Tamandua tetradactyla: one gene and its partner. The protein of the gene in region 1 purifies or fractionates together with the protein of each later gene. This does not show direct contact. Links are inferred from orthologs where the notes say so. Each region holds a gene or a part of one and is shown on either strand. Other genes may lie near its edges. The genes, in order: ARPC1B and ACTR3B.

Region 1 (14,816 bases):
CCAGGCCTATAGGTCATTGCTGTGGCCCCACCTGTCCCTACCCCTGGCAGTTTGCGTGCTGTGCGGCCTAACCATCCTGGTTCTCCAAATCATTCTACTTAATGCAGGTTCCTCACCATTCCCTTGTTTAGGCTTTCCTTTTCTGGACATCTGGAAATACTTTCTGAGTCAGATTGCTGTAGCCTAATATTGATGGAAAACTTAATATCCAGGAGACAATAGATCATTATTTTCCTTAAACTGCCAGTCAGGAAGATCAGAGCTTACTTCCAGCATGTGCCTTACAGTCTCTTGTTTTTGTGTTCTTTAGTCAAGTGTCTATATATGAGGTGGACAAGCAAGACTGTCGCAAATTTTGCACTACTGGCATCGATGGAGCCATGACAATTTGGGATTTCAAGGTATTTTCTACCTTTCAGAACAAATCTTGTTTATATTAAAACACTTCCTGTGAGAAGATTGTGTCTCATTCCTTGAAACAAAATGTCATATCTGGTATACATCAGAAATATAGGCTGTTAGACTGTAGTTCTCTCTAAAACCTTGAAGTTATTAACAGGAAGAAGCCATATTTTCCCAGTGAGATAGGATATTTACTTCTAGATATTCGTTTATCCACTGAGGAAAAATTGAATGCTTTTCTTTTTTTTTTAAGCAGGCCCTATGATCAGTTGTGTTTAACTGTGTGGATATATTTTTACGGTTTGTACAAATTAATTTAATTAACATTAAGTCCTGGCAAAGTACCAGGCACTGAGGATAGTGAGGAAAGGAGTCTGAATTCTTACTTTGAGGACTTGTAGAAGAGGTAGGTGGTTACTGAGTGGGGTGTTAGGTACAGCCCCAGAAAAGAAAGCAGTGCCTTCACTCTGACATCGAGGAATCTGAGGGGATGCACAGACTGCCAGTGCAGCAGGGAAGAGGTTGCATCTCATGATGCAGTGGGGTTTGCTGGGTTACAGGCAGGGGTGGGGGGTCATGGAGAAAGCAGTGGTGAGCATTCTGAGCTGCAAGAGCAGAACACGCAGGGCCAGCCATAAAGTAAAACAGTGTGCACTGCATTCGGTGGTGAGGGTCCTATGGGACTAGAAAAAAAGATCTGTGGTATGGCCAGAAGGACACTGATCTATCTGCAGACAATAAGGAGCTATTGCAGCACTCAAGTAGGAAAGCGCCAGGTGTTGAGTGCCTGGGTTGAGCATTCTTAGGGTCTAGGTAGTAGCCTTTGAGTCCAGTAAACAAGTGATGAGAATGTGAGCTCCACCAGTGGCAGAGGGTATGGCCAGGAAGTTCTGGATTGGAAAGGATTTAGGCCAGATGGAATAGTGAGAGTGAGGGGCAAATCCAGAACTCTTATGCTCTCCAGCCTGGGGATTAGGCAGGTGGCAGGGCCTTTCAATGAGGTAGACTCAGGAAGAAGGAATAGAGTTAAAAGAGAAGATGACTCCTACATGTAGCTCTATTAATTTAATTTCTCCTGGATGAAAACCTTCAAAACAGGTAAATATTTACACAATTTTGCCACTACCTGTGCATTTATTTCTATGATGTTTGATTCCCCCCACCCCACCCCCGTCCCTGGGTCAAATACATAGTCTTATGCCTTATAAAGTCTCTTTCTTCCTTTTTAAAAATTTTTAAATTTTTATTTTATTTATTTATTCCCTTCTTTTTAGTGGTACATGCATTTTTACTGTTACATGTCCCAGGCATCTCAGCATCTCTGTAATTATCACCACCTGGGTAGTTAGAGCTGCATGTGATAGAAGAAATCTTTCTCACAAATCCCCGGCTCAGCCCTTTTTATTACTTTGATCCCTAAGGCCAGCCAAGTCCCTGAGGACTTACACTTATTTTCGCACTTATAGAAGCTAGGAAGTTCCAGTGTATTTTTCTCACTAATCAGTACACCTCTGCCCTTGCTGTGTGGCATACACCAGGCTGGCTGCGCTGTGGTCTGCAGACACAAGAGAGCTGGCCATTAGGCGTTCAGAGTGAGGCAAGGCAGGTGTAAGCACTAATCAGACGGGCCCTGTGAGCTGGGGTAGTGGGGACAAGGGAGCACACAGGCCCAAAGGGCCACCAGGGAAAGCCTAGTCCAGGAGGGTCTCTGCAGGCCTGAGAGTGGGTGCCAGGGGGGCACTGCAGCCCAAGGAAGAGTGGTTGGTAGGACAGTGCTGTGGGGAAAGTGCCTCAATAATTATCCGTGTTCTTTCTGCCTTCTTGAAGACTTTAGAGTCTTCTATCCAGGGCCTTCGAATAATGTGAAGCTGAGTGAACCTCCAGGATCTAGCATGACAGACTGCGACTGACAATAGCTCTGCCGTTTGCATGATGGGGAGGAAAGCCAGCCGCCGAGAAACACTGAGAACATAGTGTTCAAATATCATTTGTGTGTTTGTTTGAATATAATTGATGAACGTGTTGGTTTTTTAAAAGAAGCAGTAGCTTTTTTTTTTTTGCTGTTTTCATTCCATTCTTGACCAAAGCTTCTCTTTAATCAATTTATTATGGAAAATTGTTACACTAACTTAAAGAAAGGGGTGGGGAGGTATGTAAATTGTCTGCTAGAAATTAAAATAAAATAATAAATGTATTTTTGGTTTGTTTCCTTATACTATTTCCATTCTTTTATAGAAAAAAATATGGGTAAATGATCTGTAAACTTAATTATTGGGGAAGTAAACTACAGTTGATCCTCAGTATTTGTGGATTCCATATTTGCAAATTCACCTACTTGCTACAGCTTATCTGTAACCCCCCAAATCAATATTTGCAGCACTTTTGCAGTCATTAGCAGACAAGGGCATAGCAGAAACAAAATGGAATCTCTGGACACAGACATTTCCAATTGAGGTTGAACAAGGTGATGCTCTGCCTTCTTGTTTCAGTTCTCTTACTGTGTAAACAAGTGTCCATTTCCTTCATATGTCGAGTGCCGTGCTTTTCTTGGTTTTGTGATTTTTGTTGGTGATTTCATGTTTAAAATGGCCCCCAAGCATAATGCTGAAATGCTATCCAGTGTTCCTGGGCTCAAGGAGGCTCTGACATGTCTTGTGGAGAAAATACATGTGTTAGATAAGCTTTTTTCAGGCATTAGTTATAGCACTATTGGCCTTGAGTTCAATGTTAATGAATCAACAATATATATTAAATAAGGTGTTTTTAAAAGAAACACATAGAACAAGGGTATGCATTGATTGATGAAAATATTGCCACCAAAGGCTTGTAGAACCTAACCCTGTATTTCCCTAGGAACAGTGGTTCAGTATTCACTAATTCAGTGTTCTCGGTGACTTTATAGAACATAACTACCACAAATAACAAGAATCAATGGTATGTATTTTCTGTATAGTGGCAGAATAGCTTAGATTCTTAGTTTCATAAAATGCAATGTCCCATGCAACCTACAGGAATCATTTATTGAGAAAAGAACCATTTATTGAATGCTATTTTTCTGCAAAGTAGCTGTACTATTCCCATTTTGCATCCAAGGCAACAAGGAATCCCACTGCCACTAAGCAGCCTATTCTGTGAGATCCAGAGGTATCTGCCCCATGCCGCAGCAGGGGCAGCCTCTGTGATGGTGCCCCCACAAGGGCCTGCTGCGAGGGAGTATGCATCGGGACAGAAGGGAAAAGGTGTCATTGTTGATAGAGATTATTGTGCCCAAGCCCAGTTATTTTCATCATTCTGAGAGGTTAAGTTTAACATCCCAAGGCCAAGAATCTTTAGGGGTACAAACCAAGCATATGTAAATGAATAGCAAAATAAATGAGAATGGTCTTGTTAGTGACCTCACTGACAGGGAAACTGGAACTAGTCCATACACCCCTGCCTTTAGAGACCGATAGCAGTATCTAAGGGATATGATATTTTCAGAAGACTAGTTTTAGCTTTTTGTCGATTCATAGAAAACCTGACTGCCCTCCAGGAGAGAAGCCATTTGCCTGGGAGGCTGGCCTGGTGCACCCACCTCTCCCTGTTTGCAGTTGTGCTCTCTGGACACTCAACGGCAGGGGTTTGTTGTGACTAGTGTTTGTACCACGGCATCAGCAAGGCTGTCACCAGAGAAAAGCAGCCACTGAAGGTGAGCTAGCTAAGAATTTCTTTTTAGTTTCATTAAATCACACTGTTTGGCGTGTAAGCCCAGAGATTTTTAGAGAAACAATGGATTCCATGAAAGAAAAACAAGAGCAATAGCAAAAAAAAATTTTACTTTCAGTCAAGAACTTATTAGTCACATATATATATACTTTTTTTTTTTTTTTTTTTTGATGGGGGTTGCATTTCTCACTCTTGTAAGAAGGCCCATCCTTGTTACAACAGCTGGAAATCTGTTCTTTACCGCAGTGCCGGGGTCATGAGATTACAGCAGCTCCCTCCTGCTCTCACCCTACCTTTGAGACTCAGATCAGGTCTGAGTCCACAAGGACACCAATGCGGTAGTTCTAGGTGGCTGCTGCCTGCCAGGACATGTTGACCAAACCCTTTGATGTGACGCTTTGGTGTCATATTACAGTTCTGCCAAGCTGTGTGACCTTGAGCAACATCTCTGAGCTTCCGTGTCCTCATCTCTGAAATGGGGATGGTACATGATAAGTGTTACATATTGGGTACCCAGTAAAACAGGGTTTGCTTTCAGGCTTGGTACTAGCCCTTTAGTAGATGGCTGGAGACCCTTCATAATCATAAAATGGAGTAGAGAGGGAAGAGGTGGATAAAGGATTTTGCAAACCAAAAACATCCAACTGTTTTTTCTAGAATATCCTGCTGAGAAAACAAGCCTGCCTCTAAACCCTGGTCAATTGTTTAGGCATGAGTCTTCAGTTTGGCTCAGCAGTTGTCATACAAGTGCCCGAGCTCCTCGGTGTGCCCAGATCTGGATGCAAAGATGTGAAGGCCCAAGGTGTCTGCAGTCTGGCTGAGGAGAGAAAAACTACCCTGTGGGGAACAGTCAGGACAGAGCAGCATATAATTTATATACGGGGTCAAATGTTAAAATGTGTGTGTGTGTGTATATAATTTAAATAATAGGTGTGGTAGGCAGAATAACAGAACTCCAAAAATGCCCATGTCCTAGTCCCCAGTCCCTGTGAAGAGGTTACCTTCCATGGCAAAAGGGACTTTGCAGGTGCAGTTAAATGAAGGACCATGAGATAGGGAGATTAGGCTGGATTATCCAGGTGAGCCAGTGTTATCACCTGGACCCAGTCCTGGCCAATGAGATGAGTGGGGAGAATGCTGGGGGCTCCTGGGGATGGTTTTCCTCCTTGTCTCCCTCTGCCTTGGCCAGCCCACAGCCTTCCTGCAATTGCCCTGCCTGAAGCCTGGCCATCATCTTGTGACCAGGAGGCAAAAGGCCAACACAGTGAGGAGAAGGAAGGAGCAGAAAGACAGAACTGTGATGGCCTGGAGACACTGCACCAGTTCTGCACTACCTTCCTCCAAGTCAGTCAGCCCTGAGGAGTCTTGGCCCGGCTGGCTGTGAATGCACTTCCTAGAAACCCGAGAAGGTGGAAAAGAACACGGAGGGTGGCACCTTCATCCCAGGGCACCATGGGAAGTGGATTCCAGGAAGAAACAGAAAGCACTCCAAGTCATTCTCGGAACTGCAGATGAAACTTCCATGCCCAAGCTGCCCTCACCCAAGGCATTGCTTCTTTTAAAATTTACAAAACTTTGTCCCCTGAGGGAACCATCTCAAATAATGCCTCCATCTCTTCCCAGTTTAAGATTTGCTTTCCCATCCTTTGGATCTTCCCACTATAACTGCAATTACCTTCACTGTAAGCTGTGGAAACCGAGGTGGTACAAAAAGTGTGACTTGCCTGAGGTTACACCACTAGTTAAGTGACAAGAGTCAGAACTGGATTCAGTCACTCATTCCACAGATACTATCAGTGCCGTCTGTAGCCCGGGCCCTGCAATACAAACTTGGCCTCTACTCTCAGGGAGCTGATGAGTCTGCTTTTCCTCCAATCATACCACCTCAGTTCAGTTTTTACCATTATTAGTGACAGGGATTCCTTGGGTGTGTGCATTTGTTAGGATACTTTTGGTAATGGGTAACAGAAAAACTCAAACCAGCTTAAGATAAAGGACATTCCCTGGTGCACATGGCCGAAGGCTCCAGGGGCAAGTTGGGCTTTGGGCCGGTCAGCCAGATTGACCAGGACTCCGGTCAGGGACGACCCTTATCAGAACCACGTTTCTCTCCCCTCTGCATGTTTCCTGGTCGGCTGCAGCCCAGATCTGGCTTCCCCTCGCGGCTAGAATCACCCAAAGGGGCTTCTCTTCTCTTGATCATCATCAAAAGTCTTGGGCTTGGCTTTGGGCCATCTTAGGTCACAAAGACAGTTCAGCATACTCTGGGCTGGTTGGGTTAGAGATGGGGGTCCATTCCCCCAGGGTGTCAGTCATGGGGGAGGGATAGAGTGGAAGTCAGGTGGCAATCGTGCCACCTATGAGTTCAATTGCACTTGTCCCAACAGGAGGGGGTGCCAGGACAAACCATTGGAAACTGCTCTGGTTTAACTAAAACCGTGACCTGGATTTGCTGAGGCTGCTGGGACCTGTTTGAACCAACCTACAGGAACAGCAAGACAGGGGAGCCCGGGCAGCAGCGCCTCAGCGTCCCCCAGGGGGTCATGCTCACAAGTTCACTGGGCACAAACACCTCAGTTAAAGTTCACTGGGCACAAACTGTGCTCCCTGGGTGAGGGGCTCCACAAGTTGACCCATCTCATCCTCCCAACCTCAGCCGGTGGCTGGCAGGCGTGTGGTTAGGATGGGAGCTGGGTTTGGGGACACAGGGCCCCTCAAGTGGGGGTGGGGGCGACATGGGAAAGGTATTCTTCAGCCACATCCTGCAGGACAGACCAAAGTTGGCCAGGTGAGGAAAGGGTGGGAAAAGTGCTCCAGGCAGAAAGAACAGCCTGGGCTGAAGCAGGGAGACCCGGGAGGGTTGGGGGAGTGGCCCCAGGCCCCTGGAGCTCCATGGGGAGCCAGCCCCCCTTCGGCAGCTGCCTCTTGCTCTGTGGCTAACCTTGGGTGAGATGAATCCTAGGGAGAGGGGCCTGCTAAGGTAGAGGGGGCAGGTCTCCACCTGCCCAGCCACCCGGCCACATCTCCATTGACAAACCCAAAGGCCCCTAGGGACCACCTGGTCCTGCACCCACATTCAGGGGCCTCAGGCAGACTGCCGGGGAATGGAAGGTCAAGAAGTTAGCCTTAAAGAAACCCTGCTGCCCCAGCCAGTGAGCGGGGAGCGCCTGCGCGGGAGGGGGTGTGCACCCGGGTTTGCTGTGAGGACACTGAGGGCCCACTGCTTGGCCACACCCGCCCTGCCCACCCCACCCCGCCCCGCTGCGACTCAGACCCGCACCCTCCCTTCGAGCCTCAGTTTCCCCACCCAGAAAGCAGTGAGGGGTGGTCACGGACGAGACGACATCTGGGCGCTTGGGCTCCGACGTGCCAGGACGGTGCGGGGGGCCTGGGAAACGCACGCCCGGATGGGGTGGGCGGGCCCTCGGAGCTCAAGGCCGCCGCCCGCCCGGTCCCCGCCCCGGGTCCCCGCCCCCCGCCCACGAGGAAGTGGCTGCGGCGCCGAGCGGGGCCAGAGCGGTTCGGCGCGTCGACTGCCCAGAGTCCGCGGCCGGGGCGCCCCGAGGTGAGGGGCGCGGCGGCTTCCGGGAGCTGAGGGGGCGCGGGGGGGCGTCACGAGAGGCCGCCCCGAGGTGAGGGGGCGCGGGGAGGGCGCGGCGGGCTTCCGGGAGGCCAGGGGTGTCAGGAGGGCGGGGGCCGCCTGGAGACGAGGCGGGGCGCTGTCTGGAGGTGAAGAGGGTCTCGGGGACCGCCGGGAGAGGAGGGGGCGAGGGGAGTGCGGGCGGCGGGGCCGGGTCACCGCTCCGGGCCGAGGGACACGTAGGGTCCCCGCGCCCCGGGCGCCGTCGGGGCGGTCGGGGCCGGCAGTCCTGACCCCGCGCGCCGTCCTCCGGCCTCGGCCCCCTCCCCCGGCCCCGCGTCACCCCGACTCTGCCCCGCGGGCCGCCTCCCCCCCGTTATTTGGGGTCGGGAGGGCCCCACGCCCAGCCACTTCCCCTCCGTCCTCGGAGCCTTCCGGGTTGCTCCAACCGGGAAATGAGCTGGCGCCCCACTCCCCGTCCCCCCCACCCCGTCGGCAGCACATCCAGTCCGTGGAGCCGCGGGTCCCGCCGCGGGGGGGGGGGGGGGAAGGCGGGCGCCGGGGGTCTCGAAACTGGCTCATGCGAGCTGCGGGCCCCGGCCCGAGCGGCCCCGCCCGTCCCCGCGCAGGGCCCGCAGCGATTCCAGCCCCGGTTCGGGCAGCGGCAGGGCCGGGCTGGCCCCGAGGGCGGTGATTGCGACGCTCCGCTCGCCCGCGGAACGCAGCCTAGGCGCTGAACCGCGACCCCCTGGGTTCATTCCCGGCCGCCCCCCAGGCGCCTTCTGCCCGGCAGGCAGTGAGCCGGGGGCCCAGAGCAACTTTGAGGTCTCCCGCCTTCCTTCACGGACCTTGTGTGACCTTGGCTAGCGCCTCACCTATAGTTCTGAGCCTCAACTTTGCTCATCTGGAAAATGGGCATCTTTCAGTTTGCAAGGCTGAAGTGGGATGATGTGTGTAAACGGCTTAGCAGTGTCTCAGACGCAAAGTAAATATGTGTGCTGTTACCTGTAGCTATTTTAAAAGGCCGGCCCACGTTTAGTCAAGGCATCTCCCCGTGGGAACCTGACCTCTGAGATTTGGGGTTAGAGTTCCAGCTGTGCAGTTTGGGAGCTGTGTGTTCTTGAGTCAATAATTGCTTTTGTCTGAACCTCAGTTTCCTACTGTACAAATGAAGGTTTAAAACAAAACAACTTCTTAGGCTTGCTTGGGGTTGGGGGGGAGGTTGTGGTGGTAAAAGTATGCATGTGAAAGTCTTGGGTAAACTATGAATTTCTTGACAAAATACCAGTGAAGTTAGTTTAGTAACAGTTAAATAGCATTTCAACATGTCAGTGTCACAATTTACTTTTTCCATATTTGTAATCATCTGGATTTCTCCACCTTGTCCCCATTATAAATAGCATTGTTATGAACATGACTGCTTTTAGAAAAAATAAAATAATCTTAGGGGCTGTTTTACTTGTGTCAAAAATGGATTTATGCAGCCAGAGAGTGTTAACAGTTTTTAAGTTTCTATTAATGTAACTTAGCTCTGTTTGTATTACCCAAGTGTTGAATTAAATGTTATCACTCTGCCTTTCAGAAAGACTGAACCAATTAGCAACAAGTGAGAATTTCTCCACAGCTTTGTCAGCATTGAGTTTTATGTGTTTTTTTAATTATTATTTTTTTTGGTCTTGTTTGGATTACTTTAACTGTCGCTTTATGGTATCTTATGATTGTTTTAATTTGTGTTTCTTGATGTTACTGTGCCGGGTATGTAGGACTTCAAGTGCAGAGTTGGGGAGGAGAGGTTGGCTGATCTTGCGTGGTGGGGGCTCCTACCCACAACAGGAAGCCATGCAAAATGGCTCCTGGCAGCTCCCTCAGCAGCTGGGTGGGGACTTCCATGAGAGCCCAGATCCTGCTCCAGGCAGTTCCTGCTTGGTTTAGCCTCAAATAATGCTGCAATTTAGCCTCTGGACTCAGAGAAACCTGGCAGAGCCAGACAAAAAAAAGTACCTAAAGCCTGTGCCTCTTCTGGGGAAGCACTGGCCTGGGGCACTCAGCCGGTATGGAGAGAGGCAGAAATTGAATCCAATGCTGTAAGGAAGAAGAGCGCCGAGGCTGAGGTCCTGAACAGAATCCTCCAAGCCACATAGGTGAAAGTGGCCTGGCTCGCTTTGGAGAGGACACTGTATTCTCTCCACTCTGAAGTCAGAAGACCCACTAAGACTAGGTTTACAGGTTTCTCTGATCATTAGCTCCAATCTGGAAAAAATGTGAGCACATAACTCCCTGATGAATATTTATAAGTTGCATACATGTGACCCTGAACGAACACAGCATGTTCTATGTAGGACAACCCCCAAGACAGATGTGAAGAAAAGGATGTGATTTACTCATCCCACCACATTTAGTAAATATTTATCGAGTACCCAGCACTCTAATTGGTGTCGGGGACATATCAGTGAACAAAACAGATAAATATCCCTGTGCTTCTGGCAATTATGTTCAATGATACAAATTTTTCTTGACAAAAAGGGACTTAAAATTTTTTTCCACACCCTGGGGCATGGTCTTGGGCACCTCCCTTGATGGAAACGGCACCCCACTTTGGAGACCATGGATCCAGAAATTCAAAACCCCTTCCAGCTCCCCTGCAGGGAATTGAGAAGGATAGTGACTATTAAGGGGCCCAACCTCAGGCCTCCTGCTCCAGCGCTCACCCCCAAAACTATCCACCACTCCAGGCATCCCCCCCTGGGGCCTGGGTGACCACACTCCATCTGTGCTGAGCACCTACTGTGTGCTGGACATGGGGTGCAGAGAGGTCCTGGTTCCAGGCTAGGGGGAGCCCGCTTGGAGCCAGCTGCCCTGGGGAGCCTGTAAAGGGTTTGGCCTGCATTCTCCCAGCCCCACTCTGATTTGGGGGTGACGGACTGGGGATGCACAGAGCAGAAGCCTCCTAATCCCAACGCCATCCCAGCCCCCCTCCCCGCTTTTCCTCAACAGTCAAGTGGGCCCACGGGGCTGGCTTGCAGGGCTGCAGTGACATCTGGGTGGGTGTCCCAGAGGCCACGGCCTCAGTCTGCCTTGGTCCCCGGCAGGAAGCATCGCTGCAGGGTTCTGCTTATCAGTCTACTTGGGCTAGACAGCCCGCATGCCCTTTTTCTTTTTGCATCAGGGCAGTAGCCCACCCCCAACCCCCACCCCTGCTTTTCCTGTGATTGAGTAAATCAGAGGTCTCTCAGGGTTGAAAGAGCCAAATAGGTCTAATCACCTGGAGCGAGCTGATAGTCCCTGAGCCAGGAGTTGGAAGTCCTGGCTACTCCTGGGCCTACCTACAGGTGGGGATGGCCTGGAAAGGCTGCTTCCCTCTCTGCCCCCACCCCCACCCCCAGCTTCCTCTTTGTAATCTGTGGGGGTTGGGAGCTATCACTGAGGCCCTGCTTTGCAGAAGTTGCCCTACAAGGGAAATGAGTCTTCTCTCCCCACCCCTTCACCTCTCCCCGCTGCTCCCTTTAAGATGTTGTTTCAGTGGGCCTCGAAGTAGTTCTCTCTGAATTCACACTGAAGTGTGATTGGCTGATAGGTTTGGGTTGCGAGCCTTCCTCCCCACTGTCACACTATGTGTGGCCGTCCTTACCAGCCCCTTCCCTCTCCCGCTTGAGAACCTTTGGGACCTGGGAAGCAGTGGTAAGGGCGTTCTGGTCCTCTCAGCTGTCCTGACGCATTGGCATACGGGAGGTACTGGGGTGAAGAAGTCCCCCCAAAATTCATGTTCACTGGGAATCTCACAATGTGTCTTATTTGGAAATAAGGTTTTTACAGATGTAATTAGTAGGGGATCTCAAGATGTCCTTGCAGACCTTGCCTCTGTGCCCTCACAGCTGGGACAGGCTTTTACTGCCACCATGTCCAGTCACTCAAGACCCCACCATGGGCAGAGACGTGCCTGGATGCACAGCGTGTGGGGGACAGTTGGCACTGGGAAGTCAGGATCTACTGACCAGCCAGGGTCCCGAGTTTGGGCTGCGGGGCTCCCCAGGCTGCAGCCGCAGGGCTCCTTTCTTCCGGGCCACCTGGGTCCTGGGACGGGGAGGGGAGTAGTTGGAGTCCAGGTGCCCCCACATCCTGGCTGACTTTGGGAGCGGGCTTCTGGCGTTAGCCCTGCCCCATCCGTGACCTTGGAAATGAGCGTGGGCCATGGGCATTTGCTGTCTTTCTTAGCCAGTGCTGAGCACCCAGGCGTGCCTTGTTTCAAGGGGAACGTGCAGTCCTTGCCCCGCGCGTGCACACACATCTGGGGGCAAGGGGTGGCCTGTGGCACCCTGGGACCTTGCCAGGACTTCCTGCTGTAAAGCAAACCAGGTGATTTGCAGCTGGGGCAGCTGGATGGTCAGGGGAGGCCCTGCCGAGGTGGCCTTTGAGCAAAGACTTGAAGGACAGCAGCGAGGGAGAGAGCTGGGTGGGTATCTCGGGGCACAGCGCCACTGGCTGGTGCGAAGCTGGAGACAGGGGCGCACCTGTTTGACAGGCTGGGGATGTGGCTTCCTGTGCAGATGGAAGCTTCCGCTTCCTGAACAGCCACTGTGGACCAGGAGTTGCGTGGCATGAAATTTAGTCCTCTCAGTGACCCTGGCAGGGTAGGAGGGTCGGGATCCCTGCCTCCATTTTGCAGATGGGGAAATGGAGGCTCGGAGGCATGGAGGCCATCCCTGGGGTCACACGGCTGGCAGCCAGCACCGCTGGGCTCCAGGTCTGGGTGACTCGGAAGCCTGCAGGGAGAAGCTGTGTTGGGGAGGCAGTCAGAGAATTGATGCTTACGTTGGGGTCTTATGGAGGAAGAGGGGTTTGCTGAGTGGTGCAGGGAAGGGCACTCGGGGAGGGGGAACAGCGTGCAGAGACTAGACGGGTGAGACAGGGACAGAGTTGGCCTTGAAGGAGAGTCAGGCCGGGAGAGGTCGCAGCCCTCCAGGTGGAGGGGACAGCACATGTGAAGGCCAGGAGGCCTGGCTCGGCCAGCTCCATGCATAGAGTTGTGCAGTGCTACAGCGGGGCCTTAGATAGCCAGGGAAGGGGGGTAACCTGAGGCAGGGCGAGCTAGGTGGAAGAGGCTGTCTGGGAGCTGGGGGGAGGCCAGGGCGCAGCTGGCAGGGGCTGTGCTTGGGGGAACTGGGTGTGGCTGGGCCCCGGCTGGAGGTGGGAGGCCAGGTCGGGGGCTGCCCTCAATACTGGGCTGCGGCTGCAGCCCTCCTCCTCCAGGCTCCCCCATGTCCAGGCCACCAGGGTCTCCCTGGAGACCCCTCACCTCCCCCAACACACACACCCCTACAGGTCGGGTCCCTCCCCTGGTCCCAGGTGCAGTGCCCCCCCCCCGCCCCCAACAGGCCCTTGCACACTGACCCTTTCCCCACCCCCCTCCCCAGTCTCAGCAGGCGTGGGGGGGCCAGCTCACTCTGTGGTGTATGGGATCGTTTCATTTCATCCTTTCTCTCTATCGGGGCGGAGATGGCTTGGGGTCCCCCACACCCCACCCTCAGTGGCATCTTTGCCTGCAGCAACCCCACCCAACCCATTGTCCCCAGGAGCCCCAGGGGAGAGTGACTGTTTTAGGAGAGGGAAACTGAGGCCCCGGAGGCCCAGGCTAGGCACTTAGGGACTTCGGGCTGCGGCCGGGGCTGGTCAGACCTGGAGTCCCTCCCTGTCTTTTGGGCGCAGGGAGCAAGTGAACATGGCCTACCACAGCTTCCTGGTGGAGCCCATCAGCTGCCATGCCTGGAACAAGGACCGCACACGTGAGTGTCCATGGCTGGCCTGACGGGGGGCGGGTGCCAATGTCCCAGAAGCAGCGGCCCCTGTCCGCCCCCCACTCCGGTACACACAGGCAGTTAAGGCAGCAGGCCTGGGCGGGCGCTGCACTGCCGTCCCTTTCTCACCCTGTTCGGCCTGGGGGGGTGGGGGGTGCTCCTGGGGCGCGAAGGCAGGAGGACTGGAGCAGCACCCGGGAGGAGCAGCTGTCCACATGGCGTCGGCACAAGTCGGCCCAGCCAGGGGAGCAGGCAGTGCTTGTGCTAGAGCAAGTCCTGGGGACCAGGGCCCTGCATCCATGCTGGCATTCAGGGAGCCCCGAACTCCCAGGAAAGTGGGGTTGGGGTGGTGGAAATGAAAATGTAAACATGCAAGGCTGAGCAGGCAAAAAACTTCACAGGGGAAGGGTTAGGGTGAGGTGCTGCTTCAGAGAAGGTGCCCAGGAAAAGCCTTTTGGAGGAGGTGACAGGAGCCCCAGAGGAGGCGAGGAAGAGAGCTGTGCGCGAGCTGTGGGGGCAGCACAGAGGCCCTGAGATGGGGTGCCCTGGCATGGCTGGGAGCAATGGGAGAGCAGGAGCTTGGGGAGCAGGGTGTGGAGGCGGGGGGCATGCGGAGCAGCATGGGGAGAGAGGGGAGGACAGCTGTGGGGAGCACTCCAGGGGTCAGGAAACTGCTGTGGGGGGGTCCGAGGATGAAAGGTGGCCAGCCCCGGGGGTGGATGTCAGAAGACGGGGAGTGCTTCAGGGGACCCCTCTGCAGCGGAGGGGGCGGCTCCGGGTTGTGAGGGCTGAGGAGGTGCCCAGGTATGCTGCAGGAGAGCGGTCCCAGTAGAGGGGGCGCACCTGGGCACACGCTCCTCCCCTCTCTCCCATGCCCCCCCAATCTCCCACAGAGATTGCCATCTGCCCCAACAACCACGAGGTGCACATCTACGAGAAGAGTGGGACCAAGTGGGTCAAGGTGCACGAGCTCAAGGAGCACAATGGACAGGTGACAGGTGGGCCAGGCTGCCTGGCAGGGGGCACAGGGGCTGGGGCTACCCCACCCACTCACTCACTGGATTAGGTGGGGGCGTTTGGATTGCCGGCATCCCAGCCCCGATTGAAACCAGTCTAAATGATAAAGGGAATATGTTGGCCTGTGTTATAGAAAAACTCAGGATTTTGGCCTTCAGGATAGTCTTGATCCAGCAGCTCAGCATTACCAGGAACCCAATTCTCTTCTGTCTGTTGGCTTTGCCTTCCAGCATGTTCAGCGATAGGTTAGGAAAGCTTCAGCGCCCTTCACAGGCTCTATTAGCACCCCTAGAATCACCCCCATACAAATCTAAGCACAA
Region 2 (15,625 bases), on another chromosome or scaffold:
GTCTTTCCTTCCTTTCCTCCCTCTTTCTAAAAAAAAAAAAAAAAAAACACTGAATGAAGCTGCATCTGAGCTATAAAAAAAAAAAAATCTAATTAAAAGAAGCATTCATTCCTGGGTCAAGTTTTGCCTCCAAACTAAATGTGATCATTTTAACTCTTAAATAGATGTTTTATAAAGCAGGGAAGGAAGAGATATATGTTACTGAGGAAAAACAGCAAGTAAAAATATTTAAGACGTAATATGAGAGTTTTACATTGTTTCCTTACACAAGTGAATTAAAATTCAACACCATAATTCTTACCCTCTTGTAAAATGTGCAGTAGAAGCAAAGCTACTGGGACAAAGACAACATAGTCACTACCTCTAACCGGCAAGTCATGGAGCTGTAGCACCTTGTTGAGGGGGGATTTTGTGTAGGAAAACCATAACTAACAATTTTAAATACAAATATCTGCCACCAAAAAAAAAAAAAAATTAGGGAGAGTTTAAAATATTTTCAGACAAACAGACATTGAGAGAATTTGTGAACAAGAGACCTGTTGTACAAGAAATACTAAAGGAAGCACTACAGGCTGATAGGAAAAGGAAGGAGAGAGAGGTCTTCAAAAGAGTTTAGAAATGAAGACTATCAATAAGTGTAAAAAGAACTAAAAAAATAAGATATGATGTATCAGAATAAACTCCTGACACATCCAACAACGTGGGTGAAACCTGAGCACATTATGTTGAGTGAATTAGCCAGAAACAAAAGGACAAATACAATTTGGTCTCACTAACAAGAAATAACATTAATGAGTGAACTTTGAGAGTTAAAATTGAGAATGCAGTTTATCAGGAAATAGAAGGTAGGTAGAGATTGGGCATTTAATGTTGGAGGAGTATAGAATGTTTAACTGGATTGATTGTAAAGATCCAAAAATGGATAGTTCAATACTATCTGATGCTAGCACAATACTGTAAATACACTGAACAAAGCTGAGTTTGAGTATGCTTGAAAGAGGAAGACTAGGGGCATGTATGACACCAGAAGGAAAGACTGGGACCATATAACTTAGAGAAGCCTAGAGTGAACAATGATGGTGATTAAATGTACAAATATAATGATGATTTTACATAAGAGAGAGCAAACAACAGTGCAAGGTGTTGAAAATGGATGGTATACAGAAAAAATACAATCAGTGCAAACTAGGGCCTACAGCTAAAAGTAACATCGTAATAAGCTCCCCTTAAATATAACAAAAGCAATACACCAAAGCTAAATGTCAATAAGGGGGATTTAAGGGAGGGCTATGGGATTCTTGGTGGTGGTGGTGTTTCTCCTTTCATTTTTTTTTTTCATAATCCTTTTTTTTCCCTCTTTTTCTTTGCAGAAAAAATGGAAATGTTCTCATATAGCAAACGTATAACTATGTGATTATACCAGCAACCACTAATTGTTTGCTTAGGATGGACTGCATGGTGTGTGAATAAAACTGTTTGAAAAAAAAAAAAAAAGAAAGATGCAAGTGCTACAGAAAATGTGGAGGAGATGTACCTATTCACTAATGGTAGGTAAGTAGAATGGTACAGCCCCTCTGGAGGGCAATGTGGTGGTTCCATAGGAGGCTAAGTATAAGGTTGCCATATAATTCTGCAACCCTTTTATTAGGTATATACTTCGAAGAACTGAAAGCAGGGAAACGAATGGATTATCTGCACATTGGCGCTTATGGTGGCAGTATTCACAATTTGCAATGGATGGAGGTGGCCTAAGTAAGAGTACATCAAATGATGAATGGAAGAGTGAACTATAGTGTATACATACAATGGAATATTGAGCAGCTGCAAGAAGAAAGGAAGTTGTGAGGCAAGCAAATGGGTGAATGAACCTTGACAACAGAATGTTGAGTGAAATAAGCCAGAAATGAAAAGACAAACATTATAATGCCTCACTAATAAGGACTAAACTATATGCGCAGACCCTGAGAATTGAATTTGAGAGCATAGGTTATCAGGGGAAGGCTTATTATAAAGATTCCTAGACTGTAAACTCTTACACAGTCATATCTATTCCAGAGTTGTAACTTATTTTTAAATTCTGAGATGCTGAGTTTTTTTGTGTATAAACCAGTCATCCCCTGGAACTTTGAGTATGTATGTGAAACCTGAGTCTCAGAGCTAGCATTCTGCAGCTAGGAAAGTCAGCTTTACCCTATTCAGCAACTATTTAAAAAGCTGAAAAAAGATGAGACTTCAATTAGAGAGATGAATGAAGCCAAACTGGATACGACTAAGGTAAATCAAAATACATCATACAGAATGATAATGACTGTATTTTCAAACTTCAACTTCTTTACAAGACCAAAAGAAGAGATGTTTACCTGGTGCAGAATTTATATTTTCTTTAGCACACTATCTAATATAACTTGTACAGTCAATTTATTCAAACACCATAAGTACTTGGAACCTTGAATAGGGAGTGAGATTTTGTTGGTTTGCACAGGTCAGCGTGATAACCGATACAGCCCAGAGTAATCTGGGCAGAAGATAAAAAAGTACTTGCAAAGTCCCCTTGAGAAATGTGAAAATATTAAACTTTCCCACTGGGGAATTCCTGATATTCTTACAAGCATTGGGGACCACCAATTTAATAGGCCAAGTCCTCAATCTTGGGGCTTGCCCTTATGAAACTTATTCCTGCAAAGAAGCTAAGCCTATTTATAATTATACCTAGGACTCATCCCCAGAGAACCTCTTTTGTTGCTCACATGTGGCTTCTCTCTTAGCCAACTCTGCAGGTGAGCTCACTGCCCTTCCCCACATGGGACATGACTCCCAGGGGTGTAAATCTCCCTGACAACATGGGACATGACTCCAGGGATGAGCCAGGACCTGGCATTATGGGATTGAGAAAGACTTTTTGACCAAAAGGGGAAAGAAAAATGAAACAAAATAAAGTTTCAGTTGCTGAGAGATTTCAAATGGAGTAGAGAAGTCATTCTGAGGTTATTCTTATGCTTTATGTAAATGTTCCTTTTCAGTTTTTGGTGTATTAGAACAGCTAGAAGAAAATACCTGAAACTGTTGAACTGTGTTCCAGCAGCCTTGATTCTTGAAGATGACTGTATCTATATAGCTTTTACTGTGTGATTATGTGATTGTGAAAACCTTGTGACTGAAACTCCATTTATCCAGTGTATGGACAGATGAGTATGAAAATAAAGACAATAAATAAGTAAATAATAGGGAGAGATGGGATGTTTTGGGTGCTCTTTTTTATTTTTATTTTTATTCTTATTTTTATTGCTTTTGGAGTAATGAAAATGTTCAAAAATCGACTATGATGATGAATGCACAACTATATGATGATACTGAGCGCTACTGAATGTACATTCTGGATGATTATATGGTATGTGAATGTATCTCAAAAATGCATAAAAAAACAAGTACTGGCAATAATAGATAATAATCCATTGCATATAATAAAAATGACACAATGGGTTACAAGTCTTTGAGTAAAATAACAATCTATAAAAACAATAAATAAATAAATATAGGAGATAGAAAACTCTTCCTTATAGTAAAATGCTACCTAATAAATGCAAACACAGAACACTAGAGTTAGAAAATCTCTAGTTTGCAGTCATCATTGTAACAATCAATTCAAGCAAGAATCACCAGTGGACAGTAAAACTAACAGGTCAAAGTTTGATGGATGGGGAATTTATATAACTTCAAAATATCCACCCACAAATGGGTTAACTATAAAGGGAAAAACATTAACTATACAATAGAGAAACCTAATGGATATCACCTTATCCAAAAAATACAAGTCAACTTCATCAACAGTGAGTTAAGGGGTATCTCAGACCTCCTGATGGGATGCACTAAACATCATTTCTGTGGTTTTCCTGACAGAAACCCATAAACTGAATCTAAATATACAGAAGCATCAGACAAGACTAAATTGAGGGACATTCACCATAACTGGCTGTCAAAAATGTCAGTCTTGAAAATCAACAAGGCTAAGAAATGTTCCAGGTTAAATGAGACTTAAAACACACAATGACAATCAAATGCCATTTCACCACAAATGGCCTTGCTTGGGGGGCTGGGGGGTGGGGGGGTTGCTGCTATATAAACATCAAATCTTCTGATTTTGATACTTATTCTGTGGTTATATAAAAGAATAGCCTTGCTCTCACAAAGAGTACACTGAAATATTTCCATGTAAAAGGGCATGACATCTGCAATTTACTCTCAAACAGGTCTGGAAAAATATAACAACATGTGTAGATACACACAGAGAATAAAAAGCAAATGTGGCAAACTATTAACAGGTAGCAAACCTGTTATCACATTTTGGGGGGGCGGGGGCAGCACTCTTACAACTTCTAAGTAGATTTGAAGTTATTTCAAAATAAGAAGTTAAAAAGTACAAAAATCTTGATTAAAAAATTGGCTAACATTTATACTATTTCCTCTTATGATGTACTTAGTCAAATTTTTTTCCCATTTCTTTTTTTGGATTATTTCTCCTATGTACATTTATAATAGCTCATCCCGTCTATGCTGTAACAGAGGAGCTTCACATTAGAAGTTTGAAGGGACACAGGTAAAGAGGAGGCATGGGGGTCAAAATAAAGGATAAAGAGGAGGCATGGTGGTCAAAATAAAGGATAAAGAGGAGGCATGGTGGTCAAAATAAAGGAAGAGGGAGACACTGGATAGGGCCACTTATCCTCCTAGGACTCCTTCTTCCTCAGGAAGGCTTCCTTTGTCAAAAGGCTAAAGAAATAATAGTATTCATCATCCTGAGGAAGTACACAAAACCCATCATTCTTCTAACAGAGAATGTTAGATCAAAGGATCAGATGTTTTGGGTGTTCATTTTACTTTTATTTTTATTCTTTTTTTCTTTTTTGGAGTAATGAAAATGTTCAAAAATCAATTGTGATGACGAATGCACAGCTATATGATAATACTATGAACCACTGATTATATACTTTAGATAATTATATGGTATGTGAATATACATCTCAATTAAAAAATCATTTTCAAAAATCAGCTAAGAGACTGAGACTGGTATTTGTGAAATATTTTCTCTATTCCTTTAAACAGACGAAGCTTTAACTTTGGATCAAGCAGATCTCCCCTGGTCCATACTACCGTCTTGGTCCACAGCCCACTTTTCCTCACTTAGTTGGTCCCTGATTTATTAACGGATGTGAGGCCACCAGAATGCAATCTATTTGCTATGGTCCTGGTTAGGATCATAAATCATCAGTGTCCACTAAGTATAGTTCAAGGTGAATTTTTTTCTTTTAGAATTTCATACTAGAAAGAACTGTTTTCACCTGAGAAACAGGTGTTTCTCTTCCTTCCTGATAACAGGAATTACGAACTCACATAACTCTCATAACTTTGTCATGAAGACTAAGGCCAAATCAGAGGCCCAATTACAGGAAGCACTAGCCTAAGTTTAAGATGACTCCCCAAGCCCATTCTTTTCCTTGAACCTGGTTATTTTTGGCTATGTTTTATCATTTTTATCCTATTTTGAGGTAAAACTCAATTGTGAAACAATTTCAGCTCTTTAGAAAATATAAGGATTACCAACATGCTTAAGAGGATAAATTTAGACTCTTCTAGCCATACTCTGGACAATGGGAGCTCATGATGAATTACAGAAGTTTCCATGACAGAATATGTCCATGTGAAACCCTTTGAGAGGAAGCCCTGCCAGCACTTCTAAGTTGAGGAGCCTGAAGACAACAGCATGACTTTGGACCATAAAACAATGATAACTAAAGTTGTATCTCAGAATCCACAAAGCTACATTCAGCATTTACCTCAAAAGGTCAAAAATTCACACAACATTTTACATATTTATAGCAAGAATGACAAGTAAGATCTCCAGCTCACTCATAGTAAAGGTATGACAAACTCTGTGGATATCATTTTACTTGCTACCATTAAGAAATGCTTGATATTTCTATTAGTTTTACAAGACCCAAACATATGAAAGCAAAAGTTCTCACATGAAAATGTGGAAATGAAAAAATATTTTTACCTGTTGCTTTCAGTCTTGATACAACTAGACCTAAATAAAGTAGGGGTGTGAGGTGAACGCTGAAACTGGAGAGAGTCTGGGGTGGAGAGGAGAAGATGGATAAGGGAGCCAAGAATTTCTCCCTGGGGTTAACATCAATACTGATTTTAGCTCATGTTTTGAGCAGTAAAATAACTTCTGAAATAATGAGCCACCAAAAGTCTGGCACAATGTATATTTCAAAAAGAAGAATTAGCGTTAGCAAAGAGGCAGTTTCTCCAGCTTATAATCACTAGCAGTAGTTTCAATGGCAAAAGAAAAAGAAAGAAAGAAAAATCACAAGGAGAGGGACTGTAACAAATTGAAGATGACACCCACACTAGGTTGTCAAGGAAACCAAAATCAAGCGTATTTTTCTACTAAAAAGAATCAAGGTTAAGGTGAACAGGCCATGGAATACTTTGTGGCAACGATTATTAAAATCTCTTCTTGACAAATCTTCAAGCAAGTAAATTTAATTCCAGGCAATTTTATTAAGAACTTTATCCATAATGTAAGCAGGCAAGCTTGAATTTCCAAACTACCAGCATTGTGGATTCAGCAATCACCTCTCTAAAATCAGGGAAGCTTGGGCCATTCAAAGTACAAGAAATTACCTAAGGTCTTCTTTGTATATCTTAATAACAGTAAAAGAAGCAATCACAAAAAAGGTAAAAAAAAAAAAATAAAAACCTAATTCACAAACAAGCTTCCCCAAATTTAACCTTTCCGTTTTTCAAAATGGAGTCTTTTAACCCACATCATTTTTAAGCTAAAGGGCATGTCTATTCAAACTAAAGCAAGCACTTAACAAGAATTAATCTCCTGAGTGAGCCATTTAATACTGGAAAAGAAAAGAAGGCAGTAAAAAGGGTATCAAGTCGATAGGACTATATAAACATCTCCGTAACTAGGTGGTAAATCATCAGCAAAGAGAAATAAAACACAATTGATGTGGGCACTGAATAAGCGCCACTTAAGAATACTGGATGGCAGGAACAGAAGGTTGAAAGCACCTAAATAAACTGGCTTTCAAGGCAAGGGTGAGATGCTAAGAGGGTCCTACTCAGCGATACTGCGGCTGGAAGTTCGGGGTACCCACCTCGGCCCAGCACTTAAGAGGATGTAGGACACGAAGAGAATCAAAACAGATTTATATGGGGCCCGTCACTCCCTCTCCATTCTTTCCCTTTCCTCAAGGTGAGTGACCTTTTTGCGCGCCCCGGAAGATACACCTTTACTGGTAGTTAAAAGAGAATTTTAAAATCTAAAGGCGAAATATTTAAGGAAAGGGGTAGGAGATGTGCAGGGTGGAGATGCCGCCGCCTTTATCCGCACAGGTGGGTAGACGGCTTGAGGCCGGGAGTCCAGGGCTCAGCTACCTCTACCTCCAGGGGAGAAGGCGGGATACCTCAGGCTGCAGGGTCCGCGAGGGAGGCCACAAGGAACTGCTCAACGCCTGTGGAACTGGAAGACCAGAGCAAGCGGGAGGAACAGGGATGAGGGTGTCCAGCGGACTGAGGGGATGGAGATGGCAAGGCTCTTACCCGGTGCCACAGTCCACCACGCAAGGAGGCAGGTAACTCGCCATGCTCGGAAGGCCGGGCGCGGCGTGCACCGCTCGGCCTAGACGAGCGGCCCAGGAACACCCCCGCTACGATCGCGGCGGCCGGCCTTATACGCGTGGGTCCCACTGCCTCGCCCCCGCCCACGGGGCCGCCTCTCCCGCGGCTCGGGTAGCCAGAGGCAGCACCGCTCTCGGGAGCCCGGATGCTCCGCGGCAGAGCCACGTGACGCTCCTCCCTCTGTCCTAGCCAATCACGGCGCAAGGATGCCCCCCTCCCCTCTCTCGCCATCTTTAGTGCTGGTATGAGGTTTCTGTGCTTATACGTTGTGGATGGTACCCTTGTGGCCGAAGAGATTGGTATTTATATTTGACTGATTTATGGTGAAGGTGACCCCATTTCCGAGACCTGGCTTCTTCTCATCCTTTAAGTTCCACTTCAAATGTCACCTTCTCAGGGAACCTAATTAGGTTTCCACCCCACACCTGATTCTGTCTCAGCAATGAATTGCTTTCATTCATGCACTTAGAGCAAACTTTTTCTACTTATTAGTAGTCTGTCTCCCACTGATCTGTTAGCTCTACTAGGACAGGGCTCATGTCTGTCTTATTCACCACAGGTTACCCTGTGCTTAGCATGGTATCTGGCACATATATAGGAAGCACCCAAATGTTGAATGAATGAATAATTTTCACCCTGAAGAAATTTACTATTAGTTTTCCTTTTTTTTTTTGCATGGGCAGTCACCGGGAATCTAACCCGGGTCTCCAGCATGGCAGGTGAGACGACTGTTAGTTATTATACCTAGCAGAACACTAATTTCCTCTAGAAAAGAAAAATCTGCAAGGCATATGCATAGCCAGCCTTAAGAGATTATCTTAGGGTTAGTTAATATTATGCCATATTTTCAGGTATCAAAGATAAAATTATCATCCAAAAATTCTTACTGAAATCATGGATCAGAGTAAGCAAACACCTGCCTACTATGTTATGAGGATACTGGAAGTCCAACTTGCTTCCTGCTCTCTACCCTATCATAAATTCTTGAAAATTTTTTATGAACTTTTGGAGACATGTAATTTTTATGTGGTTTTAACTGGTATTTAAAGCACTGTGTTTTTTTCCTAAGAGAAGTAATAGATTAGTTGATCACTCTTGGATAAATCATTATTGTTCCCATATTACTTAAAAGGGTCAAATAAGCCCCAGACCTAGAAAATTTTCAGGGGAACTGGAGAGAGAAATAGAAAATGTGAGGAAAGTGAAAGGGCAGCAGTGTAGAAGAATACCAATATAGGATCCCAAGTATAATCCATATGGGCAAAACACTAACTTGCTTACTTTGAGTTTTGCCAATGCCTACCCAGCTCCCACTTTTCATGGCACTAGCCAAAATGCCATAGATATACTCTAGGACTGCAGACTGTTGGCTTGGCACCATGATGTCTTTTATTTTCTTTCAGTCACTTAATATATATTAAGTGTTTACTGTAAGGCAGAAACTATATTAAACACTGGGCTTGCAACAGTAAGCAGGATTCTCACAGTCTGTGCTCCCAAGACATCGGTTTCTATGGGAGATAATGGCAGTTAAGAGGCAATTGCAATACAGTTCATTAAGTGCTAAGATAGGGCAAGTCCAAAAGGCTTGGAAAGCCACTAGAGGGGCACCCAACTCTGACTTGTCAGCTAGTGAGGACTTCTCAGAGCAATAGTATCTAAGCTGAAACCCAGAGGATGAATAGAGGGTAACTAGACAGAGGAGAATGAGAGAGTGTTTTAGGATGGGAAACAATCTGCACAAAACAAGAAGGACCTCAAGGCTCATGTATGTTTGTGGTGGTTTGAAGCTACATGTACCCCAGAAAAACATGTTCTTATATGTAATCCATTCCCGTGGATGTAAACCCATTATAAATAAGACCATTTGATGAGGCTTCTTCAGTTAAGATGTGAATCACCTAATTCAGGATGGGTCTTAATCCTATTACTGGAGTCCGTTATAATTGAAATGAATACAGAGAGAGAGAGAGAGAAAGAGAGAGAGAGAGAGAGGAGAAAAGCCTTGGAAACAAGAAGCTGGAAGCAAAGAACCTATAAGGGAAGGGAGAGACCAGAAGATACCACCATGTGCCTTGCCACATGGAAGAGGAGTCAAGAATCACCAGCAATTGGTCTTCAGGCAGAAAGCATCACCTTTATTTAGACATTCTCACAGCCTCAAACTGTAAGCCAATAAATTCCCATTGTTTAAAGCCAACCCATTTCATGATATCTGCTTTGAGCAGCCTGGGTAACCCAAACAATTGTCCATTCACCAGGAAATACGCCTTTGAGGGAATTTGGAACTGGCTGGTAATAAAAAGTTTTCCTTTACAGGGATTTTGCATAGAATTTATTGGGAATGGTGGCCATGGTCAGCAGCTGACAGGAAATAAATCAGAGACTCTAACTTCAATGATTTCCTCTAGATACCACTAACCCTCAAGGTATCAGTTAAGATGTTTTCATACACAGTAAGAGAAAACCTCGTTAAAAGTGGCATAAGCAATGAGGAAATTTTATTATCTCATGTAATAGGAAATCCAGTAACTCTAAGAGAACTCCACCAATTCAATGACATCATTGTGGACCTATACATTCTGTTCTACCAACCTCTTGTGTGTTGGCCTTTGTCCTCAGGCCCATCCCTTGCAATTGCAAGATGGCTACAGCAGCTGCATGCACTAAAACAGACAAAGAAAGGAAAAAGAAATTCCCCATCTTGATTATCTTTCAAAGAGGGAAGAAAGACTTTTCCAGGAGTCCCCGGCAGCTTCCCTGCTTGTTTCATCAACCAGCCTATGCAAAAAAAAAAAACAGTTATTGGCAAGGGATACTGTTGTACTGTGAATGGCAAACTTTTGAAAACAAACCCCTTAGGCTGGAGAGGGATGTCCTGTCCTTTGAAGCATATGGCAGCTGGTGCCTGACTGATGCTGAATTTGGTCAGCAAGAGGCAAATGTTCATTGTGCAGACAACGAAATAGTTTCTGCATCACCCATAATTTTCTTAATTAAGCCATATATTCTCACTTCCCTATGCCTTTTTTACATAATCTTGCCTTTGCTTGAAATTGTTACTTAACCTGCTCATCCTTGCTGACCCAGCTCTAGCTTTACCATCTCTATGAAGCACACCTTTACTTCATAAATCTAATCCCTCTCCTCTGTGCTCACAGAAAGCATCATACATACTTTCACTTTAGTGTTTATTTGATGGCATTGTAATTTGTTGCAGGACTATAATCCCCAGTAGACAGGGAGCTCCCTTAGAGTAGGATTATGTTTTATATATTTTTATATTTCTAGTTCACAGGACATCATCTGGGACCTTGTAACCAGTCAATGAATGATTGTGAACTCCTATAGATCAGAGGCTATTGCATCACTTTTTATAGTGCCTAGTGTACAATACCCACAGAGATAAACCTTACATCCTGCAAGAGATACTTCAAGTACAATTTTTATTAGTTATATTGCAAATGAGGTTTGCTCACTCTAATATACACTGCAAAATGCCTGCTACCAAATGCCTGTTAGTCCAGAATATTTTTCTTTACTCTGTGTGGCTCAGCCTATCTCCCTGTGCTCTGCTTGTAATAGAAGGGAAGGTTTAATCAGCTCTATTTCACAGGAGAGTCAATCTCTTGATTGTGTTTCTACCCAAAAGTGACCTACTCAGCCCCATCCCAACAGGCAGAAACATGGATACCATAACACTTCCTGGATAGAATTTAGCATCCCCTCCATGGCAGATGGTATAACTATTTCATGACTACAATCCTGGGTGCTATAACATCCCAGTACCATTCTCAAATGAACTTCAATGAACACTTTTTGATGCTGGTTATGCATATGAAGACAATTTTAAAAACAAAATAAGCAGGGCTTAGACATTGGCTATCCAAAGGAATTTAGTCAATGAAAACTCAGGCAATGAGATCTTCATTTCCTGCATTTAACTGGTTGTGCTGGGCCAAGAAGTAAAAAAAGAACACAAAACTAAAGGCTTTCTTTAAAAAGTGCCCACCCAGCAACTCCGTGAGTCTTAAATCTCAGAGCTGTAAGAAGGAGCACTCTGTGTGTTCTCTGTTGCCATGAAAATTCAAAGAGAAAAGAGTACCAAAAAATTAGTACTCCATTCCTTTCAAGTAGTTGGCATTCTCCTTTAAGAGGAAGGGCCTGTCACTGAGCTCAATGGACCTCCCTGATGTGTTGGCAACTGTGAGAAAAAAATGATCCAAACTAAAGTTGATGGGCTGGAGTGTATCAAAGAATTGACAACAGACCAAAAAAACACAAAACAGTTAAGGAAATCCCGTCAACACTAAACATATTCAGATCAACTCTGCTGTGTTTCTGTCTCCATTAATAAAAATTACTCAGACTAGAAAGTTCATCCTCAATTCCTCCTTCTCACTCTTCTCCTACACCAGTCAGCTTCCAAGTCCTGTTCATTCAACCTCACCACCTCCCTTGTGTCCATACCCTGCTTCTCATGCCTACTGTCGTTCTTGCTGAACTATTCAAAACCTCCCCACACCCCTGCTCCAGCCACCCTGTCTCCAGGCTTTTGCCTACTCAATACACCTTTTGGACAAATTACACTGCTGTAAAAGGTATCATTACAAAATATAGAAAGTTTATATATCATGTCATTCTTCTTTCCCCCAAACCTTCAATGACTCCCTATTATTTATGGAATTTGGCCCAAACTCTTATGGTGGGTCTTAAGGTTCCCTATGATCTGCTCCTAAGTTAACCTTTCTAATTTCATCTCACATTATGCCCCTTGACACATCAGGGCACAGCAGACCACAGACACTGTTCTTCAAACCTTCTGCATCGTCAGGTCATCATGCAGTCCTCTCAGTCTTCGACATTCTCCTTCAGCTACCTCATCTTTATCCTCCAAGACTCATTCATCCTTCCAATTTCAATTCAAATTCACTTCATTTATTCATTCAACAAAATAGACTGAGTGCATTTTAGTAAATTCCCCTGTTCTAGCAAACAGTATTCCTATCCAGTTCAAATGGAGAATTTGAATTACAGTATAACTTAGTTTTCAGAGCATTTTCAGTACATCATCACATTTAATCTTCACAACAATCTCATGAGGTAGATATTATCATACTTCTGCTAATCAAATAAGAAACTGAAGATCAAATTAGAATAGATTAAAATTTAATTGTAATTCATTTGATCTTGAGAAAATAGGAAAATGCTAAAGTGATACCAAACCAGCACAGGTATAATATATGGTAGAGCCAGAAAGGATCTCAGTAATCAGTCCTTCAGACTTTCACAATTTCAAACATACTTTTCTACTTTTCAGCGCTTTACCTTGAATGTTTTCTAAATCCAGTAACAAATAACCATGAACTAACATCAGGCAATCACTATATATTCTACCAACTGAGTAGTATCCAATAAAAAATCAAATTCTTTTGCCAATAGAAAATGAAACTGCTGAGTAGTGTAATTGAACTCCAAGCAATCTGGACAGAGCATACTGCCAAAAGCTAAATCCAAATGTTTCTTGCCATTGTGCAATCACACAAGCAACAGGTTTTGAAGGATTTGGCTTCCCAGGGGCCTCTCCTCTCCTTATTAATTTTCATTCTAGAACATTTTTAGAAGCAGCACAGCAGGCATCTGGTGTAGTTATAATGGAATGAATGAAGCAAAATTGTGACATGCAGACTATCTACACCAGATATTTATTTGGTTTTTTTTTTTTTTTTGAGCCAAATGTGTTTGGAAAAAGAGGTGGTAATAAGCAGAATGGATACGTGTGCAGTAACAGGTAGGAAGGCAATACATGGGGCCATGTCTGCTAAATTTCTCTTTTCATCCAATTGAAACTCAATTTCAACAATATGTACTTGAAAATCAGGGGGGAAATTACGATATGTTTCCATGTCTTTTTTTACTATTTCTTATGCTTGCTTTAACTTATCAAGGTGCAAGATGAATTCTAAGCAAAAGTAGTATGCAGAAAAGCATATAGCCACTGTGTTCCAAGAGTGAAAAACAAAAAGCTATCAGTTGAAGAGAAAATCGTACTGTTTTCTTGAAGCAATTTTTTATTTTTTTGGCCTGTCCAGGCACTGGGAATCGAACCCGGGTCTCCGGCATGGCAGGCGAGAACTTTGCCTGCTGAGTCATCCTGGCCCACCCCAAACATTTTTAACTATGTTAATTTATATGGAAAAAAATGAGTAAAATTAATTTTACTTTTTTATGGAGGCTTGCAAAGATCACATGTCTTAGAGTCTTTCAGACTTGTATCCAAATCCCCAATCAGAAACTTAGATATGTTTCTGATGAGTTATTTAACATCTCTGAGCTTTAGTTTCCTTGTCTGTAGGAAAGAGTTTAGTGTCTTTGTCTGTAAAGAAGGGTTTTTTTTTTGAGTTTTCATATTAGTCTATAAAAATACTAGACTCTCTAAAATGGGAAGTTTAACATCATTACTGCCCTGTTTGTGTAGCTGCTGCTTTCCTAAATAATTCTCTTCATTTTAGATGTGTACTAAAATGTGGGCTAAAATCACACAGCTTTATTCTGGCTACTGTGATAATAACTAAGGTATAAAACAGGGTTAAAATAGACCTGCCCTCAGTATTACGTAAGATATAAGACATTTTCCATTAGTGGAGAAGAGTTGGATTGAACCATTCATGTACTCTAACCAGGTCTTCCTTGTGACCAAGGAGACATACTTGTCATCGTGCTAAGGTGACAGAATAACAGCTTTTATCATTCACAGTTAAATATTCAAAATTGATAAAATTTTAAAATGTAGGCTCTCAAGCCAAACTACCTAGATTTGAATTTCAGCTCTGATCTTTAGGTATGTGTATGACCTTGGACAAGTGACTTAAACTCTCTGTGCCTCAGATTCCTTCTTGGAAGAATACAAGGAATAATAGTGCCTACTTCATAGGGCTAGTGTAAAAAAAAAAGAAGAGATCATTTATGTGCCTGACACATGGCAAATATTCAATAAATAATAGCTATTATTCTTGTTTCTGTTATCATTATTATTTTATAATTATTAATATATGAGAATCAAATATTCCAGGGTGGCCTCATTAGTTCTCAATTTTTAACCCATTGAAATATAGAAAAAATACCACTGAAAAATTTTCCAGTCATTCCAAGCTGATTACCTCATTACTGTCTTAAAAACAAATAAGCTCAATTTAGAAATAATTAGTACCCATGTAAGCTGTTCATTGTTTTGCACTTGCAACAAGCAAAAGGCTGTGGGCTCATTTGTGCTTATGTTGAAACCAGTTTCATTCAAAGAAGCAATGGACAGACATTTAAAATAAGTTAAAGTACTCTATATCATCACTGCAATATTTCAAGAAAACACCAAAGAGGGGTGAATGGGGTAAGCAATCCAGCAAACCTCAAAAAAAAAACCCTTTCACCATCTCTCGTTCTCAGCCTGCCCACCCAAAACTCAAATTCATCCCACATACATGCCTTTCCACTTTCAGTGTCTAGTCTTTTTCTCTTATCAGTAAGAGAATTATTTCTCTGCCCTTTCAAACCATATCCTTCCTGCTCTTAAGTTTCTTCGTTTCTGCCCACTCCTGTCCTCTAATCTGTAGGTTTTGTTCCCAAGAAGGAAATGGAGTTTTACAGTTATAACTCAAACTTGTTTCAGTTGAAATGCTTCTCAGAATTCTCTTTAGTGGGCAAATAAGAGATTGCAAATATTTTTTATCTCATAATTCATATATAAATATAAAATATATGCTGTTATGATACAGTTACTTTACCACTCAGGTGTTACCATCGATACAGTTTGATACTTTTAAATTGTTAAGCCTTCAGTTTCATAGAGATGGATTCTGGTTACCATGGACCCACCACAGGTGTCAATACCCTGAGGTTTAATAAACGTGAACCCTCTTGCTGATGCAAAGAC

The links.
Region 2: the proteins of ARPC1B (region 1) and ACTR3B purify together in Homo sapiens (affinity purification with mass spectrometry; 5 studies listed by BioGRID and IntAct, counting the BioPlex papers as one, with this or other methods). This does not show direct contact. The link is inferred for Tamandua tetradactyla from reciprocal best matches to the Homo sapiens genes ARPC1B and ACTR3B.

The regions. Positions count from the first base shown.
Region 1 is NC_135349.1:7,397,327-7,412,142, forward strand, and holds the start of ARPC1B (actin-related protein 2/3 complex subunit 1B), read left to right. Parts: upstream 1-7,594; 5' UTR 7,595-7,672; exon of another isoform or gene 7,673-7,739; intron 7,740-13,390; 5' UTR 13,391-13,403; coding exon 13,404-13,467; intron 13,468-14,372; coding exon 14,373-14,477; intron 14,478-14,816. Other genes in the region: ARPC1A (actin-related protein 2/3 complex subunit 1A), read left to right, coding at 311-401, 2,230-2,268. UniProt on the Homo sapiens protein: Component of the Arp2/3 complex, a multiprotein complex that mediates actin polymerization upon stimulation by nucleation-promoting factor (NPF).
Region 2 is NC_135327.1:197,437,151-197,452,775, reverse strand, and holds the start of ACTR3B (actin-related protein 3B), read right to left. Parts: upstream 7,835-15,625; 5' UTR 7,662-7,834; coding exon 7,618-7,661; exon of another isoform or gene 7,450-7,617; intron 7,196-7,449; exon of another isoform or gene 7,173-7,195; intron 1-7,172. UniProt on the Homo sapiens protein: Plays a role in the organization of the actin cytoskeleton.